Linked DNA regions of Drosophila melanogaster. The protein of the gene in region 1 interacts with the protein of each later gene in a pairwise test. Each region holds a gene or a part of one and is shown in the gene's direction. Other genes may lie near its edges.

Region 1 (3,095 bases):
ATCAATCGAATGGGCTACAACTACAGTCCTGTCACTGCCACCGGGCACCTTTGTGGCATCATCGGTTTTCCCCATCGCCTCCTATTTTTTTTTGTTGTTGCTGTCCTGTATTTACCCTTTTACCCAGCCTTTTGGGCCCGGCAATCAAGCGTACTTGTTGTACGACTCCAGCAACTGGCCAACCGGCCAAAACGACCGACCAACCGACCAACAACTTTAGCGGCCATGACACAAAGATTGACAGCATGTCGTCGCTGTTTGGAAGCCTGATTGACATGAGTAATCAAGCAGCCGAAATGTGCCCACAAAACGCAGCCAGCAATGACACTGACAACGAAACCAGCCAACCAAACCACGCAGCCTTTCGTTTGCCCCTTTGACTGACAACGATGAGTCGACAGCGACGGCAACTGGCAACTTGCAACTTGCGACTCTCAACTTGCGGCAGCAACATTGCGGCTCTGTGCCACGTTCAGACCACTGCCATAAGGGCAATTTCGATGATGAAAGAAGGGGGCTTTCACTGCTCCCAGATCTCGACTTTTGGATGCATAAGCCCAGTTACCATAATCAGTATCAATTAAACCACAACTGTTGCATAAAGTTATCTAAACACAGCAGAAGGAGCATAATTTAAGGCATTGAGGGTACATAGAGGGTACCAAAAGTAAAAATAGTAATAAATACTAATAAATACTTAGCATCATATAACTGATGGTCCTTGAATCTGTTAGCCATGTTCTTCTATCCCTTCTTTCTGAACATTCTCATCCAATTATTACATTCCCAGCTAATTCACGCATCAAATGCAAATTGCATTCAAGTATGTTCCATCCAGCCACGTAGCTCTTCTTGCCAGACTTGAGCACTTTCAAAAATCCGTATCCTTTGCGGATTACAAAACAGAACCAATATCCCCATTGTCAACTCGAATGTGGCCTTTGATGAAGGCGACACGACATTGACAGACGGTAGCCGATTGACTGCTGACAGGCGGACTGGCGGGACAACAGTCCACCGAAAGTTGGGATCCCGATCGGGATCGGGAAACGGGACTGGGATTGGGATGGGATGGGATTGGAATTGGGATTGAGGAGAGCAGACAAGCCTTTCCGATCTGGCCAAAATGAAGAAGCCGCTGCCGAGGGAGAACTGCAAACTGCAATTCTGATGACTTTTTGTCAGGCCTGATTGACGTCAACGACTCGAAGACGTTTGTCAGGCATATAAATCTTTTGGCTCGTTTGTTTCTTGGCTATGCCCACATATACCAATCCCAATCCAAATCCGACTCCAAGCCGGGGGATTATAATGGCCGACAACGACAGCGATGCGATGCATAAACAATGCCACTTTAAATTGGCAATTGTTGCGACAGTAAATTTTACAATGAATTACTACACTGCCATTCTTTTCTTTCCTCATTTTTATGTTTATTTATTTTTTTTTTTTACGGATTTTCGAAACAACAGCTAAATAAAAGGGTCGAACTGGCAGTCGAATATAATTGCACGTCTCTGGGGCGAAAGTACGACCTGATCTTGAACTGCAAATTGGGGCGTAACTAAAGACCGATTTACCAATTCTTTTTTGAAAGTTTAACCTATGGGTTCGATTTATTCCAACTATAAAAAGGCCGGGTTAAAGGTGTTTTAGGTACAGTTCACTTTGGTCTGGAGATCAGACAACAGTAGTCTAGCTAAGATTAACTCATAAACTAGCTGCGGTACCATGGCTCAAAAGGTGAGTTCAGCAAAAAAGGATAACAACTAAAGCAAATTATTATTCACCTCGATTTTCCTTAGTTTTTCATCGCCTTTGCCCTCTTGGCCATTGCGGCTATTCGGGCAGCTCCTTTCCATGGCCACGAACACCACGGTCATCACGGTGGAGCCACCAGTCATGCCTCCGTGCATCTAACATCGCACGACGATCATCACGAGGAACATCACGGTCATCATCACGACCATCACGGGCATGATGATCACCATGACTCCCATGCTGAGTATGACTTCCAGTACGGCGTCAAGGATCAAAAGACTGGGGATGTGAAGTCACAGAGTGAGTCACGACATGGCCACACGGTTACCGGACACTATGAGTTGATCGATGCCGATGGCCACAAGCGAACTGTCCACTACACGGCGGACAAGCACAAGGGATTCGAGGCTCATGTCCATCGCGAGAAGCTCCACGATCACCACCAGGCGGAGCACCATGGCCATGGACACAGCGGCTACGAGGGCGGACACGTTGAGTTCGAGGAGCACTCCTCGCAATCCGGACACGACTATGGCCACGGACACGAGGAGCACGGTCACGGTCATGGTCATGGACATGGTCACGGAAGCAGCTCCCACAGCTATTCGCTGAAACAGGAACACGGACATGGGCACGGCCACAGCCACGGTCAGGATCATGGTTTCGAGCACGGACACGGTTACCATTGAGTTGACCCCTAAGCTATACAATTGTTTATCAATCGTTTATTGAACTCTTACCAAATACCTATTGTTGTTATACCAAAATAAATCAGGCAAATATTTTCAAAATTGAAATAATTATTTGATTTGAAATGGACAAGAAGTGTAACTAAAGTTTCCCTAAAACCTATTAAAATCGAATTATAAAGTTTCTATACTTACCAACGAACTATTAACTTAAAAAAGAAACAAATCACAGTAGATAGCTCTTTTCGATACATTTGGAATATTTAAACATTTCAAATTATTAGTGAAATTTTAGCATATTTAGCATATGGTGATTTATGAATTGAATAGGCAGGCATTCGCGACTCAACACCAAGACGAGAATCGCATAGACCGTAATTTGGGTCAGAATCAGTAATGTGCGACACGACAGGCGAGATATATCACAAATTCGATTATTATAAATCATATTTGTACAGTTTATCCATAAATTAGCCCGCATATCTATCTATTCGCTGGCTATTTCAGGTGGCTGAAACTTGTATTTTTTATGCAAGCATACACACATATTGTATATATGCGTGCACATGGCGATTTTTTATGGGCGATTTCTTTTCACTTCTAGTGGTGGCAATCGGGTTTTCGGAGTTGAAAGTCCTTTATTCA
Region 2 (5,439 bases), 450 kb from region 1:
CCACTCGGTCAACTTTTGGCACACCTTGTTTGTCACCGGATAGACTGTCTTTATCTGTAATTATGTATATTGGTTGGATCAGTACTTTTCGGGCTTGCCACTGGATGAACTGCCTCACCCGTCCCATCGTAAGACCAGGCGTTACGTCCGCCCTTCGAGTTTTCCACTTTTCGCCAGTTAACGAGAACGGATTGTTGGCGAAAATGAAATCGGTTTTCTCGTCAATATTCTTGGCGATCTCATTGTCGTGGAAGTTCTTAAAGTTGGACACAAAGACTCGACGCGCCAACGCGGGATTGATCACCAGCAGCTGTGGAGAGCGGCTGCCAAAAATGCCCACAGCATCGTACTTGTTCTTATACTGCCTGAATAAAATGATCGCATTAAATTCAAGTAAAGCGTAATTTTTTAAATGCGTTTTAAGAATGGTTCTTGGTTTCTTTGTGAAACAGTTGATGATCCATTGAATTTTGGTAGTTAATATAACCTTTCTAGCTGGGATAACTCACCTGTATATATCGTCTAGATCGTAGATTGCATGCCGCTTCATAGTAAACATGTTTGGATAGTTTCCGCACAATAGCTTTGGCTTGGGACCAGGAACGCCCCGTTTCCTCCAATAGTCATAGTTCCATACCAGCACGGCATACAGCAGGCCCACCACCAACGAAACCAGGGTCAAAGTAATCAGAACCATTTTCGATCGCTCTAAAATCTACGTCCACGCGCGACGAGTTCTAAACGGCGTCTGTTGTGGAATCAGATACTCTGCTCTATTTGTAGCTGCTCATTGAATTTGGGAGAGGTATTCAACAGTGTGGAATCACCGAGATACCTGAGTGAGTGCTCTGGGAGAGTAAACTACTCACACTTTCACCATAAACAGTTCTAACATATAAATGATAAGAGCTAATCATTATTGCAGGCGGTCGTCAATCGTCATATCAAGCAATTATTATTTATTTACGGTCTTGTTCTTTGTAGAAAAAAGCAATAACATTTGATGTTGCAACTCGACTAGCCGCAATGAAATTAACCATTTAGAATAAATTTAAGTATCTTTAGTAACCTAGGGCATATTTGAATGGCTGATGAAATATATACAGTAGTTGAAGGAAACATTATAGCGTTTGCTTCTGTCTTACATATTTTGCTTGCAATATTGGGATAAACAAATGCTCAGATAATCCCAAGCGGTTTATATGTATAGGTCTAGATTGTCGAGTCCTCAACGGATGTAGCTGATTTTGGAGCAACATGAAATATATAAATTTACATTTGCAGCTCAGTTGAATTTGAAACGTTGCGCCGAACTCATTTACATAGAGATCAAAGCTGAATTTTACAAGATTTCTGCTCTTTCCATAATGTCACACATCCAATGCCTTTGGGTGTGTCTGGGTTTTTTTATGCTACTCGTCGACTTCATTCAACCCATCGGCTTGAATGTTTGTAACCGATCGCAGGTGGTTACTTACAAGAGATATGTCGAAAGGAGTAGAGTGATACCATACCAGCATAGATCTTTCTGGAGTGGTTGGCAGACAAAATACCGCACCGAGTATTATACAGACGAAGAGGTAAATACAAAACTTTGAGTAAAATATAAATGGGGAACGGAACTAGTCTCCCTAAAGCTAATAATACAAATAATTATAAAATACTAAAAGATTCCTATGTACAAAGCAAACGAAGATATAGTGTGCTCGTTATCTGGAATTCATTAAAAATCCAAGAGAAAAGAACATTACATTAATTGAGGGTCCAGTTCTGTTTAATTCATCGGACAGACTGGTTGCTTTAAGATAGTGAATATATATATGGTATATACTTCAGGAAACGAATTGACTCGCATTACTCATGGATTTTACTGCATTTTCACTGCATTTTGTGTGTCTGTCATTGTCCTTTGGCACAAGTTTCGCCATTTTACGGCATGGCCTAAATGATTGCAGTCACCCGGAAAGCGTTCCGTATAACCGTAAGGTTCTTAAAAGTAAATTGGTTCCGTTTCAACAGTATTCATACTTTCATGGTTGGGTTACTAAGTACAGGCATCAATATGTCTATGAAGATGAGGTAATTCGAATTTGTACATAATTTATATTATTATTTATAGCTTTGGTAAGTGTGTAGTTAAAGTTTCCTTTAAAGAGGCTTTTTCTCCTGTTCTCTAGACTGCCTACAGGACCGTAATGAGACCCAGTTGCTGTGAGGGCTACGAAGGATCCGTTGAGAACTGCAAACCTGTCTGCAGACAACAGTGTCCTCAACATGGATTCTGCTCGTCCCCCAATACTTGCAGTTGCAATGCGGGCTACGGCGGTATCGACTGCCATCCCGTTTGCCCAACGGTATGTGGAAAAAACGAGTTTTGCGATCGCCCCGGAGTCTGTAGCTGCCAAAATGGCTACAAACGAACTTCTCCCAGCGACAATTGCCTTCCAGTTTGCGAAAAGGAATGTGGACACCATAGCTTTTGCTCGGAGCCCGGGAAATGCGAATGTGAACCTGGGTACGAGAAAGTGGGAAACGGCACCGTCTTTCCAGATGGATACAAGAACAATTCAAATGGCAATTGCTCGCCCATTTGCCCAAAGGATTGTGGCCAAAACAGCCGATGTGTGAGGCCAGGTGTGTGCGAGTGTGAAAATGGATATGCCGGTGACGACGGAGGCACCAATTGCCGACCCGTGTGCTCCACTTGCCCGGAGAACGGATTATGCTTGAGTCCCGGCGTTTGTGTCTGCAAGCCGGGCTACGTAATGAGAAATGATCTCTGCCAGCCGCATTGCGAAAAGTGCTCGGATAACGCACACTGCGTGGCGCCCAACCAATGCGAGTGCTTTCCGGGCTATGAGTCGTCGGGGGCGGACAAGAAGTGCGTACCCAAGTGCAGCAAGGGATGTACCAACGGCTTTTGCTTTGCACCGGAGACTTGTGTTTGCAGTATTGGCTATCAAATGGGTCCCAATCAAGTCTGTGAGCCAAAATGCAGCCTAAACTGTGTTCATGGCAAGTGCACCAGTCCAGAAACCTGTACCTGCGATCCGGGTTATCGCTTCAAGGACAACTCCCATCACGAATGCGATCCTATTTGCGACAGTGGCTGCAGCAACGGACACTGTGTGGCACCCAATTTTTGTATATGCCACGATGGCTATCAGCTCAATAGCACAAATCCTGTCACTTCTATGTGTCAGCCGATCTGCAAAGGCTGCCAATTCGGAGACTGTGTGGCACCGAATGTGTGCGAGTGCAACGTGGGCTATGAGAATATTAACGGACTATGCGAGTTACAAACCACGACGGACTCCTATGAATACAGCACCACAACTGTGGAGTTGCAATCATCAACTGTAGACCCTCAACTGCAGACATCAACCAGCGAGGTTCCGCACTCAAATTGCACTGCCGGTTGCATGTGCTGGATTGAATACGATGGGATGGGTACTTTCAATACAGCCAAGTGTGCCAAGATCTGTGTTGATCCCCAGGACAAGCCGTGCCTCAATTTGGACAATTGCCAATGCGATTTATCGAGTGGTCAACTGGTGTGCCAAGAGGATAGTGACATGGATTACAGCGGGGAGAATTCGCGATACGTTTGTCATATTTTGCCAGAGCAGGGGGCAAGATCAGAGGCTGAGGTACGGATTCCTGACCGAACTGGATCGTCTAACAAGTGGATGATTATCGTAGGCTCCTGCGCTGGAATGATCATTGGTGTGGCCGCCACAATCATTGGCATAAAGTACTATCGACGTTCTACCTCTAGGCGAAATTTTGAAGCCGAAGAAGCCATTGTTGAATGTGATTTTGAATAGTTTGAATCCACACAAAATCACTTATCCTTTCAAAATCGCTTGTAAAATTGTTAAATTACTTGAATTAAAAAATGTAATAACATGAAATAAATTTATAATAATAATTATAATAATTATTTGTTGGTAATGTCCTCAAGCTTAAAAGAATAACTGGACCATTTAGGTACGGAATGCAGGACTCACTATAAATGTAAGCAAATGTCAATTGTGCTTACTTAAAGTTGACTATCTAGGTTTCATCAAAAGAGGGTACTTTACAAGTACGAGATATATATTACGTCTAACTGTAATAGTTAAGAAGATTTATACGAATACTTTACGAGTACTGGAAAAGAAAACGCTGATACCAACCAGTCGTATCAGCGTTTCCTTTTTCAGTACTTGTCATATATGTATCTATTCCCATACAGAGTTTCTGTGTGGTTAATCAATCCAATAGATAAAACGCACGCTTTAATAAATCGTGATATCAAACATATATTTTGGCCAAACACTTCCTCCACACGGAGGAGCTTTCAATAGCTGTTGTAAAGGCAGAGTTTTTGTAATGCTCTAAAACTGTATAACTTTTCATAATAACAATACAATGCAAAAAAACCGGAAACTTGCAGTTTTATAAACTGATCAAATCCGTGAAGTATTGGTATGACAACCCCTTTGTTTTTCAATACCTTTCGTTTTGTGTTTGGAGTTTTAAGTTTGGACAACCACAGCAATTTTTTGTTTATTTACATTAAAATAGTTTGTTCATCACTATATAAGGGAAATTATTTCTTTTTAAAAAATTATTTTTGTATTAACCATTATCATTAGTTACAGGAAACGTTTGGAATGACACACAAAAGTGATTGAGTCATATTTACTACTAAATCATTGGAGGCCTGTTAAGCATACATACATACATATATAATATGTAATATTTAAAATATGTAAAATGTTCGCGGACTAATAAAACGACTGAGATCAACTGATTTGTAATCCTCATATTTTTTAGAATGAGAAAAAAGTTGTAAGTCAACCAAAACATACCACTCAATAAATTCATAAAATGAACTCGACGAGCTTAACGTTTAAAAGTGTATTTAAATCCTTTACTCACCTTTCTTTTTTTATAAAAAAGTAAGAAATAATTGTACAATTACTTCTTACTTTTATAAAGCCAATTAAATTAAAAATAAATACACTGGTTACATATTTTCCTCCTTATTGGATATACCCGAAAAGCTTTCATATAAAGGGTACTAATCTCGCTCCGCAGAAGGCAAGCGAAATTTTAAAGTTTAGTTCATTTTTTGGCACTCGGCGGAGCAGTTCACACTAAGTTTACATAAGTCACTAATATGCATAATTTTCAACTGACCGTCGTTTTCCTGGCACTGTTCACTTTTACCAGTTCCTTTGGATACCGTTCTGAACATCCGCACAGAAAACCAATACATGTACGTACTTTTTCTGTCTTTTAAAATCAATAACATTAAATACCCATGACAAAGGGTCAAATTGCATATGCAAATGACATACAAATATGTTAGTCTAAATATTACATATTTATAGGTATTTAATTAAAAAAATTTAATTTTAAAAACCAAGAATTATCATAATTTTTTGTTTT
Region 3 (3,372 bases), on another chromosome or scaffold:
GCGCAGTCCAGCCTCCATCTCCTCTACCTGCGCCACACCAATCGCGTCCAGCTTATCGTCAGGGTTTCGACAATCGAGCCATGGCCATGAAACAGCAGTATCTCATCCATCAGCAGACCCAGCAATCGCATCCTGCCCAGCAACGCTATAACTATGCCCAACAGCATGCACAACACTATGCACCACAACCACAACTGCAACCGCAACCACAACCACAACCACAATACCCACAGCACACACCGCACAGAAACACGTATGCAATGCCTCAGAATTATGGGCAGCAGAACTACAAGCCGCAGAGTTATATTATCAACTCTAGCGAAGATCAGCTGCACGCCGAGCAATCGAATCCCTCGCCAATGAAATCAGCTGGAGAGGATCGACAACATCACGAGGAGGAGTTTGACTCCTTTGGCGGTCAGCTCAACTTCAAATCACCCTTCAATGACTACGGCAGTCGACCAGCACGAGATCTCACCTACCTTCTTTATAAGCGGGGTCTCTAGAAGCTAAATCCATGTCCACGTCAAACCAAAGACTTGCGGTCTCCAGACCATTGAGTTCTATAAATGGGACTGAGCCACACCATACACCACACACCACACATACACACACGCCAACACATTACACACAACACGAACTACACAAACACTGAGATTAAGGAAATTATTAAAAAAAATAATAAAATTAATACAAAAAAAATATATATATATACAAAAATTTGTTGTGTTTGAATTGAATTAAGAGCTTATCAAGAAAAAAATTTCAGTGACTCATAATACACTACTCTACAAGTTTAAATTGAATCAACAATTTAACTTTCATTGCTCAGGTTTTTAGTAACAATGTTTATATAAGTTTAGGTATAACAAATGATTTAAATATAAGATACTGTATTTCACATTGAGACGAAACAATCCACCGAAAATCATAAAATATAAGAATGTTGCATTTTATTTTTAAAAATAAAGATGCCTTTTAAGAGGAATAACTTAAATGTCTTTAATACCTTTGAATTTAATTATATGGCTAATAAACACAAACTTAAAGCTTAAAACTGCATCGAATTGAATGCGGTTATAAATGTACTTATATATCTAATATAATCTGCTAATATGGTTTACATGGTATATCTTTCTCGGAAATTTTTACAAAAATTATCTATTCATATATCTCGAGCGTAAGATATTTATCAGTTTATAGATAACATCTTTAAATTTGGGTGATTAAAAAAAAACATTGCTGCAGGGCATGTTTATGTACACATTTCAGTATAAGTCCCAAGTTAAAATGCAATGTAAAAACATATAAAGGATATTAACTTCAAACCCAAAGGATTGCAGAGAGATTGCAGCACAGCTGTAATCATCGCAACAAGGCAACCAAAACGAGACTCTCGTAGCGTTGGCATCATATTCGATCTTTGGAAGAGCTATGATTCAAGCCAAGGGAAACAACTGCCAAAAAATAGAAGATTGCGACGAGCGGAAAGCAGAGTGGTGCACCACGGTGCATAGGTGCATAGGAGGTTGGTTGTCTAGAGATCTGGGCACGATGGCGAGACAAAGATGCGGCGCAAAATCGGAAATGGAGATGGATCACGTAGCCGGCCATGGCGGGCAGCGATTATAGGCGCTATAAAGAGCCGGAGTCATCGCCAGACAGCGAGCAGTAGACGATCCACACGTAAACGGCAACATGCAACTCGGTCTCTGGTTTGGCATTTTGGCCATCGCCGCCACGCCGGTTAGTAGCTTTTATCCATGGCATTCGCATTGGGCATCCCGCTAATCTCGCAAACTCTCTCTCTCTCTCTCTTACCTCCTCCTCATTAGCTGGTGAGCGCTAACTATGGTCCCGCTGGCGGACACGGACACGGACATGGACATGGACAGTACCTGTCCGGTCCCAATGCCGGACTCGAGGAGTACGTGAATGTGGCGTCTGGTGGCAACCAGCAGGCTGCCAATCAGATCGCCTCACAGGCCGAGATCCAGCCCACGCCGGAGGAGGCCCGTCGTTTGGGTCGCGTCCAGGCCCAACTTCAGGCCCTCAATGCCGATCCCAACTACCAGAAGCTGAAGAACTCCGAGGATATTGCCGAATCTCTGGCCGAGACCAATCTGGCCAGCAATATCCGTCAGGGCAAGATCAAGGTGGTGTCGCCACAGTTCGTTGACCAGCATCTGTTCCGCTCCCTGTTGGTGCCATCGGGCCACAACAATCACCAGGTGATCGCCACCCAGCCCCTGCCACCAATCATTGTCCACCAGCCTGGTGCACCACCAGCCCATGTGAACAGCGGCCCACCGACTGTGGTGCGCGGCAATCCGGTGATCTACAAGATCAAGCCCTCGGTCATCTACCAACAGGAGGTGATCAACAAGGTGCCCACTCCGCTGAGCCTCAACCCCGTCTACGTGAAGGTCTACAAGCCCGGCAAGAAGATCGAGGCTCCACTGGCCCCGGTGGTTGCACCCGTCTACAGCCAGCCCAGGGAGTACAGCCAGCCCCAGGGTTATGGTAGTGCCGGAGCTGCTTCCTCCGCCGCCGGTGCCGCCTCCTCTGCCGATGGCAATGCCTACGGCAACGAGGCTCCACTGTACAACAGCCCCGCGCCCTATGGCCAGCCCAACTACTAAGGTGCTCATCCTGGGCATGGGTTGCTCCTCAGCTGCGACAGCTGGTTTAATTTAAATTTTTGTTTTTTTTTTTCTTTGCCGAACTACTGAGCGCAAATAAATGAAAAAAAAATACTTGAAACGTAAACGTTTTGTCATCAATTATTTTCGACCGGAAGGGGCTACCTGAGTGGCAATGAAGCACACAGATTAAGCACATATTTATGAATATATAAATATATACGAATGCATGAGAGAACAAAAAATTATATCTAGTTTTCTTCAAAAATAAATAATAAAGGGGAAAATGGTATAAAGTATGAACATAAAATTATGAACGAGTATAAATAAGTTTGTAATTGAAATCTCTACGGTCATACAAGTATTTTAACTATTCTATAAATATGCATAAACATGGTACGCATTTTATGAGATACAATTCGAAAGATATTGGATAGCATTATCATGCATGAAATTATTTCACACTCTTGTGATGGTAGCTATCTTATTCCAGTTATCGTTTAATTGCAAAGAATGGGATCAAAAGGTCATCTTTATCAACATATTGTTGATTCCGGAATGAATAATAAATAATAACATAACTATGAATTAATGGAGCAACTATAATTTTACGGCCTCTTTTCTTTTAAACAAAGAATATAGCACTTTTAATGCATTAAATACGTATTTAAACCTTTTCTTTTGAAACGCCAAATTCATATTAGAGTTTCATAAGATTGTTTTAAAACAT
Region 4 (4,457 bases), on another chromosome or scaffold:
CTCACCATGCAGGGGAAATCTGAAATATGGGCGCTCATCACAAGGCAGATACTTTCTACAAAAAGTCTGGTAACGCTTACAGCAAAACGGTCGAACTGGAACTGCAAGGATATACAAATGTGTTGCATCATAAAAAATAAACAATTTTCTTCCGAATAAGGGAACATTTTTAAATTCAGAGTGTGACCGAGGCAATAAAGTGTAATATTCTTCAGAAAGCGCAACATCCATTAAATGGGGAATCAATTCTCGTACTAGAATGTAATGTAAACAAACTTTAAAAATGGACGAATCTGAAACAGCTCCGAATGACGACTATGAGCACCCAGATGGACTCGATTACATATTGGAATCTGTGTTGATGCCCAGCGATGGAAGTAAAGAATTCAAATTCTTGGCGGACGAGTACAATTCTGTTCTTTTGAACCCCTGTCACTGCAAAGGAGCCTGCGAAAACAGCGAAGTCTGTGCACATGGAGGCCAATATGAGTTCACAGAAGATGGCAGCGAATTAATTCTTCGGAATTCCGCAAATCCTGTCATTGAGTGCAATGACATGTGCAAATGCTGTAGAAACACGTGCTCCAATCGGCTTGTGTACTCAGGCCCGAGGAAACATTTGGAAATATTCGATTCGCCCGTGTACGGATCCAAAGGACTACGGACTACAGCGAAAATTACAAAAGGAGGATACATTTGCGAATATGCCGGAGAACTTTTAACGGTTCCCGAGGCAAGAAGCCGCTTGCATGATAATGAAAAACTAGGCCTGATGAACTATATCCTGGTGCTTAATGAATACACTAGCGACAAGAAGCAACAGGTGACCATCGTTGATCCATCAAGACGTGGAAACATCGGACGCTACCTGAACCACAGCTGCGAACCGAACTGTCATATAGCAGCTGTACGAATAGACTGTCCCATACCAAAAATAGGCAAGTTTTATTGCTAATTCTGATCCGACTTCTCTCGTCATGTGTAATTTTTTAGGTATTTTCGCAGCAAGGGATATTGCGGCCAAGGAGGAGTTATGCTTTCATTATGGCGGAGAAGGGCAGTATAAAAAGATGACAGGTGGAAAGACTTGCCTCTGTGGTGCTTCAAAATGCACGGGTTTCATGCCAAATACTGAAATAGAAGAATAAATAAATTACTATTAAAGTTTACCTAAGTATATGTAAGTACTTGCCACTCAGAGTTTGTTCTGTACTTGGTTTTCCAGCGGAGGTAGTTTTTCATAAATCCATTGCTGCAGATCCGTGATGGAGGCAGTTTTCAGTTCGTGCAGTGTGTTCCTCAATGGATGAAATGTGCCCTTGACACCCAGTTTCGTTAGGTTCTCGAAGGTTTCCAGACCCCAGTCCTTAGGTACCAGAGTATCGCGTTCCCCGTGATACATTCGCAGCTCGGGAAAAGATTCGTCTTTGCCGTTGGCCAGGGAATCATAGACAACGGAGCCGCGGTTCAGGAACGAGGAATGTGCGAATACGCCGGCCAAGCTGCGTCTCAAATGGTAGCCCGTGTGCAGAGCCAAGGCTCCGCCCATCGAGAATCCGCCCACAACGATCCTGTTCAGCGGTATGCCGCTGGCCACCTCCTCGTCGATCAGCTGATTGACCGCATCATAACACTGGGACATGCTCTTCTTGCTTTCCGATGCGGCAATGTTCACGGACTTGCGGTCAAACCACACGTTGGATAGTTCCCCGTCCAGCGGGGTGTACTTCTGTTTGGGAGCCGTGGGATATATTATCTTTATGTGCGGGTACTCCAGATTCCGGCCGATAAGGAAGCGCACCCATTCCAGAACATTGGGGCCGGTGTCGCCGGATCCGTGGAAGAATATCACGGAGGCTGTGTGTTTGCCAGTGGCATTGACCGTTGTCAAGGCTGGCTTCATCTTTAATTCACCTTTGATCAACTAAATATATTGCACTATCGGAATAACCATCAAAGGGCGGCAGTGTGGCCAGGGGTTCGTAAAGAAACAGCTGACGGGAAATAATACTGTCATGGTATTTTGAACATTAAGGAGCCTTTTGTATTTTCCAATGTAAAGTCAAACGGTCACACGAATCCATACGTCTAAATAAACTTTTAAGGAGTAAAATCAATGAAATAAGTGAAAATAAAAGGTGAGTACCGTCTAAATAATCGATTTGTGGGCGCCTCCATCGAAATGCGCTGCGCTTTCCCCAAAACATGCCTTACTTAACTGAATTTTCCACAAAACATGACGCATCTGCGGCTCCATGACTACGCCTTTCCATTTGTGCCGGATCCACACGCACACACGCGCAACCATTGACGCCAACACGAACACACCACACGCAGAGTGCAAATAACGGAGAAACATCAAGACACGCAGAGGAGCAGCAACTGGAAGAGGACAACATGGCCAACATCCTGGAGAACCAACTGTTCACGGCCGCCAAGACCATCGAGCAGCAGCTGGACCAGCAGCTCGACCGCCTGGACAACCTCGATTCGGATGACCTAAAGGTCCTGCGGGAGCAGCGGCTCCGCGAAATGAAGGACCTGAACAACAAGAAGCAGGAGTGGCTCAGAAACGTAGGTGATCATCTCTTACAACACTCAATTATTGAAGATACTTCGAGATTGTTCTCTAAGTGGTATATGACCAAATGGTATTCAACATGCGACTTTTAAGACATTCGCGACACTTGCTTCGATTAATTCAAATTAGTTTTCAAATTGGGCTACCAGCTTAAATAGCTCAAAACTTAAATATATATGTAAAAATTAACTTTCAAAGAAAACCTTGTTAGCGCAACAATCTCATTAATCCCCAAAATTGCTAATCTTTTCCAGGGTCATGGCACCTACACCGAGCTGGCCGACGAAAAAGAGTTCTTCGAGATGTCGAAAAAGTCGCCCAACATTGTTTGCCACTTTTACCGCGACAGCACCGAGCGCTGCAAGATCGTGGACATGCACCTGAAGATCCTCGCGGCCAAGCACGTGGAGGCCAAGTTTTGCAAGGTGAATGCCGAAAAGACTCCATTCCTCACCCAGCGACTGCGCATCAAGGTGATACCCACCATCGCCCTGGTGAAGGACAGCAAGACCAAGGACTTCATTGTCGGATTCACCGATCTGGGCAACTGCGACGACTTCGCCACCGAAATGCTGGAGTGGCGCATCGCCCACTCGGGGGCCATTGACTACAAGGGCGATCTGATGCAGCCACCAGATGTGAAACGCAAACCATTCATCAACCGCCCACAGAAGACAATACGTGGAGGCTACGACTCGGATGACTCCGATATAGATCTGGATGACTAACTACGGGCAGTCCATCCCACACTCTCGATTACCCAAGCTCCAGCTTTCGTTCCACACTCCCACACAAGATACACTCAAAAGCGATGGAGTAACAAAAACGGACACACACAAATCAAAACCTAGCACATGGATCTAAACCAATTAGGCGTACTCTAGCGTTATTTATTTAATTATACGATTCCGATCCCTCTGCTACGGTCCCATCGCCACCTAGTGTAAGTGGCTAATTCGGTTGCCTTCCCCCCCGATTATGTGCTTTAATATCTATCAGTTCAATCAGCTGCCTCGAAGGCTGCGCCACTCTAGCGAGCTTAAGCGAACTCAAAATTTGATCTTTATGGTATTTGCAATTCCAAATGAATGTGCACCCTTTGCGTATATATGTTAAGTTGAGCATAGTTTTACAAACTGCCCTCGCCCTCCAGAAAACGGTGTACGTAAAACAAGAAACTAACATACACAGAGCATAAAAGACAAGAAACTAAATATCTGGCATATATATATTTTTAAAATTTCGATAAAAGGTGTATTGCATTTCCTACAGTAGAGGTAACTAACACTTACATATGTACAAGTTTTTATATTTATTTTTGTAATTCTACAAAGCATCAAAGGAAATCAACGATTAAATAGCATGTTCAAAACAATTGCAAGCGCTTGGTAATTGGTTGTAAACTTAAATGGTTCCCACACAGGTTTTTTGCATTTCAGATCGTACTCTTGGTAATATTTTATTTAAATCATACACGGGAAAGGCAGCTTTTTATTAAAATATGACTTTTTAACAAAAAGACTAGAATTTCTTTAAGAACTTATTATTTTCATCATTTATCGATATTATTAAACCTTACTTGGAAAACACAGAACTGATCATCGGGTTAAATAGTTTTGAATGAAATAATCCTGAAATAATAGGTTTGAACAAACTACGCTGCAGTTAAAGTAATGGTATTTCCCCGAACAGCTGATCATGAGATTCCGAAAATCCTCCCTTAACACAAGGGTTGCCAGTCTTGCCGCAGACGAATAACGGAATGGCCGCCAAAGACAAAAAGGGACGCCAACTGAATTTACCTGTAATGACGCCGTAATCCCGCCAATTGCAGCTTGCTCGCCATAAAACTACGGTCCAGACTATCGTCAAAATC

What was found.
Region 2: the proteins of Cpr35B (region 1) and NimC1 interact in a two-hybrid assay, tested with the Drosophila melanogaster proteins (one large-scale study listed by BioGRID).
Region 3: the proteins of Cpr35B (region 1) and Cp36 interact in a two-hybrid assay, tested with the Drosophila melanogaster proteins (one large-scale study listed by BioGRID).
Region 4: the proteins of Cpr35B (region 1) and CG4511 interact in a two-hybrid assay, tested with the Drosophila melanogaster proteins (one large-scale study listed by BioGRID).

What each region holds. Positions count from the first base shown.
Region 1 is NT_033779.5:14,423,768-14,426,862, reverse strand, and holds Cpr35B (cuticular protein 35B), read left to right. Parts: upstream 1-1,673; 5' UTR 1,674-1,731; coding exon 1,732-1,743; intron 1,744-1,805; coding exon 1,806-2,450; 3' UTR 2,451-2,548; downstream 2,549-3,095.
Region 2 is NT_033779.5:13,972,618-13,978,056, reverse strand, and holds NimC1 (nimrod C1), read left to right. Parts: upstream 1-1,802; 5' UTR 1,803-1,860; coding exon 1,861-2,079; intron 2,080-2,177; coding exon 2,178-3,827; 3' UTR 3,828-4,899; downstream 4,900-5,439. Other genes in the region: Cyp28a5 (cytochrome P450 28a5), read right to left, coding at 1-54, 119-365, 510-697; He (hemese), read left to right, coding at 5,168-5,266.
Region 3 is NC_004354.4:8,477,659-8,481,030, forward strand, and holds Cp36 (chorion protein 36), read left to right. Parts: upstream 1-1,660; 5' UTR 1,661-1,698; coding exon 1,699-1,746; intron 1,747-1,835; coding exon 1,836-2,642; 3' UTR 2,643-2,865; downstream 2,866-3,372. Other genes in the region: Cp7Fc (chorion protein c at 7F), read left to right, coding at 1-506.
Region 4 is NT_033777.3:10,852,459-10,856,915, forward strand, and holds CG4511 (uncharacterized protein), read left to right. Parts: upstream 1-2,042; 5' UTR 2,043-2,138; intron 2,139-2,286; exon of another isoform or gene 2,287-2,337; 5' UTR 2,338-2,397; coding exon 2,398-2,574; intron 2,575-2,835; coding exon 2,836-3,309; 3' UTR 3,310-3,954; downstream 3,955-4,457. Other genes in the region: CG4565 (uncharacterized protein), read left to right, coding at 284-938, 994-1,148; CG6567 (uncharacterized protein), read right to left, coding at 1,196-1,903. UniProt on the Drosophila melanogaster protein: Has redox activity with thioredoxin. Required for male fertility and maturation of sperm past the canoe stage during spermiogenesis.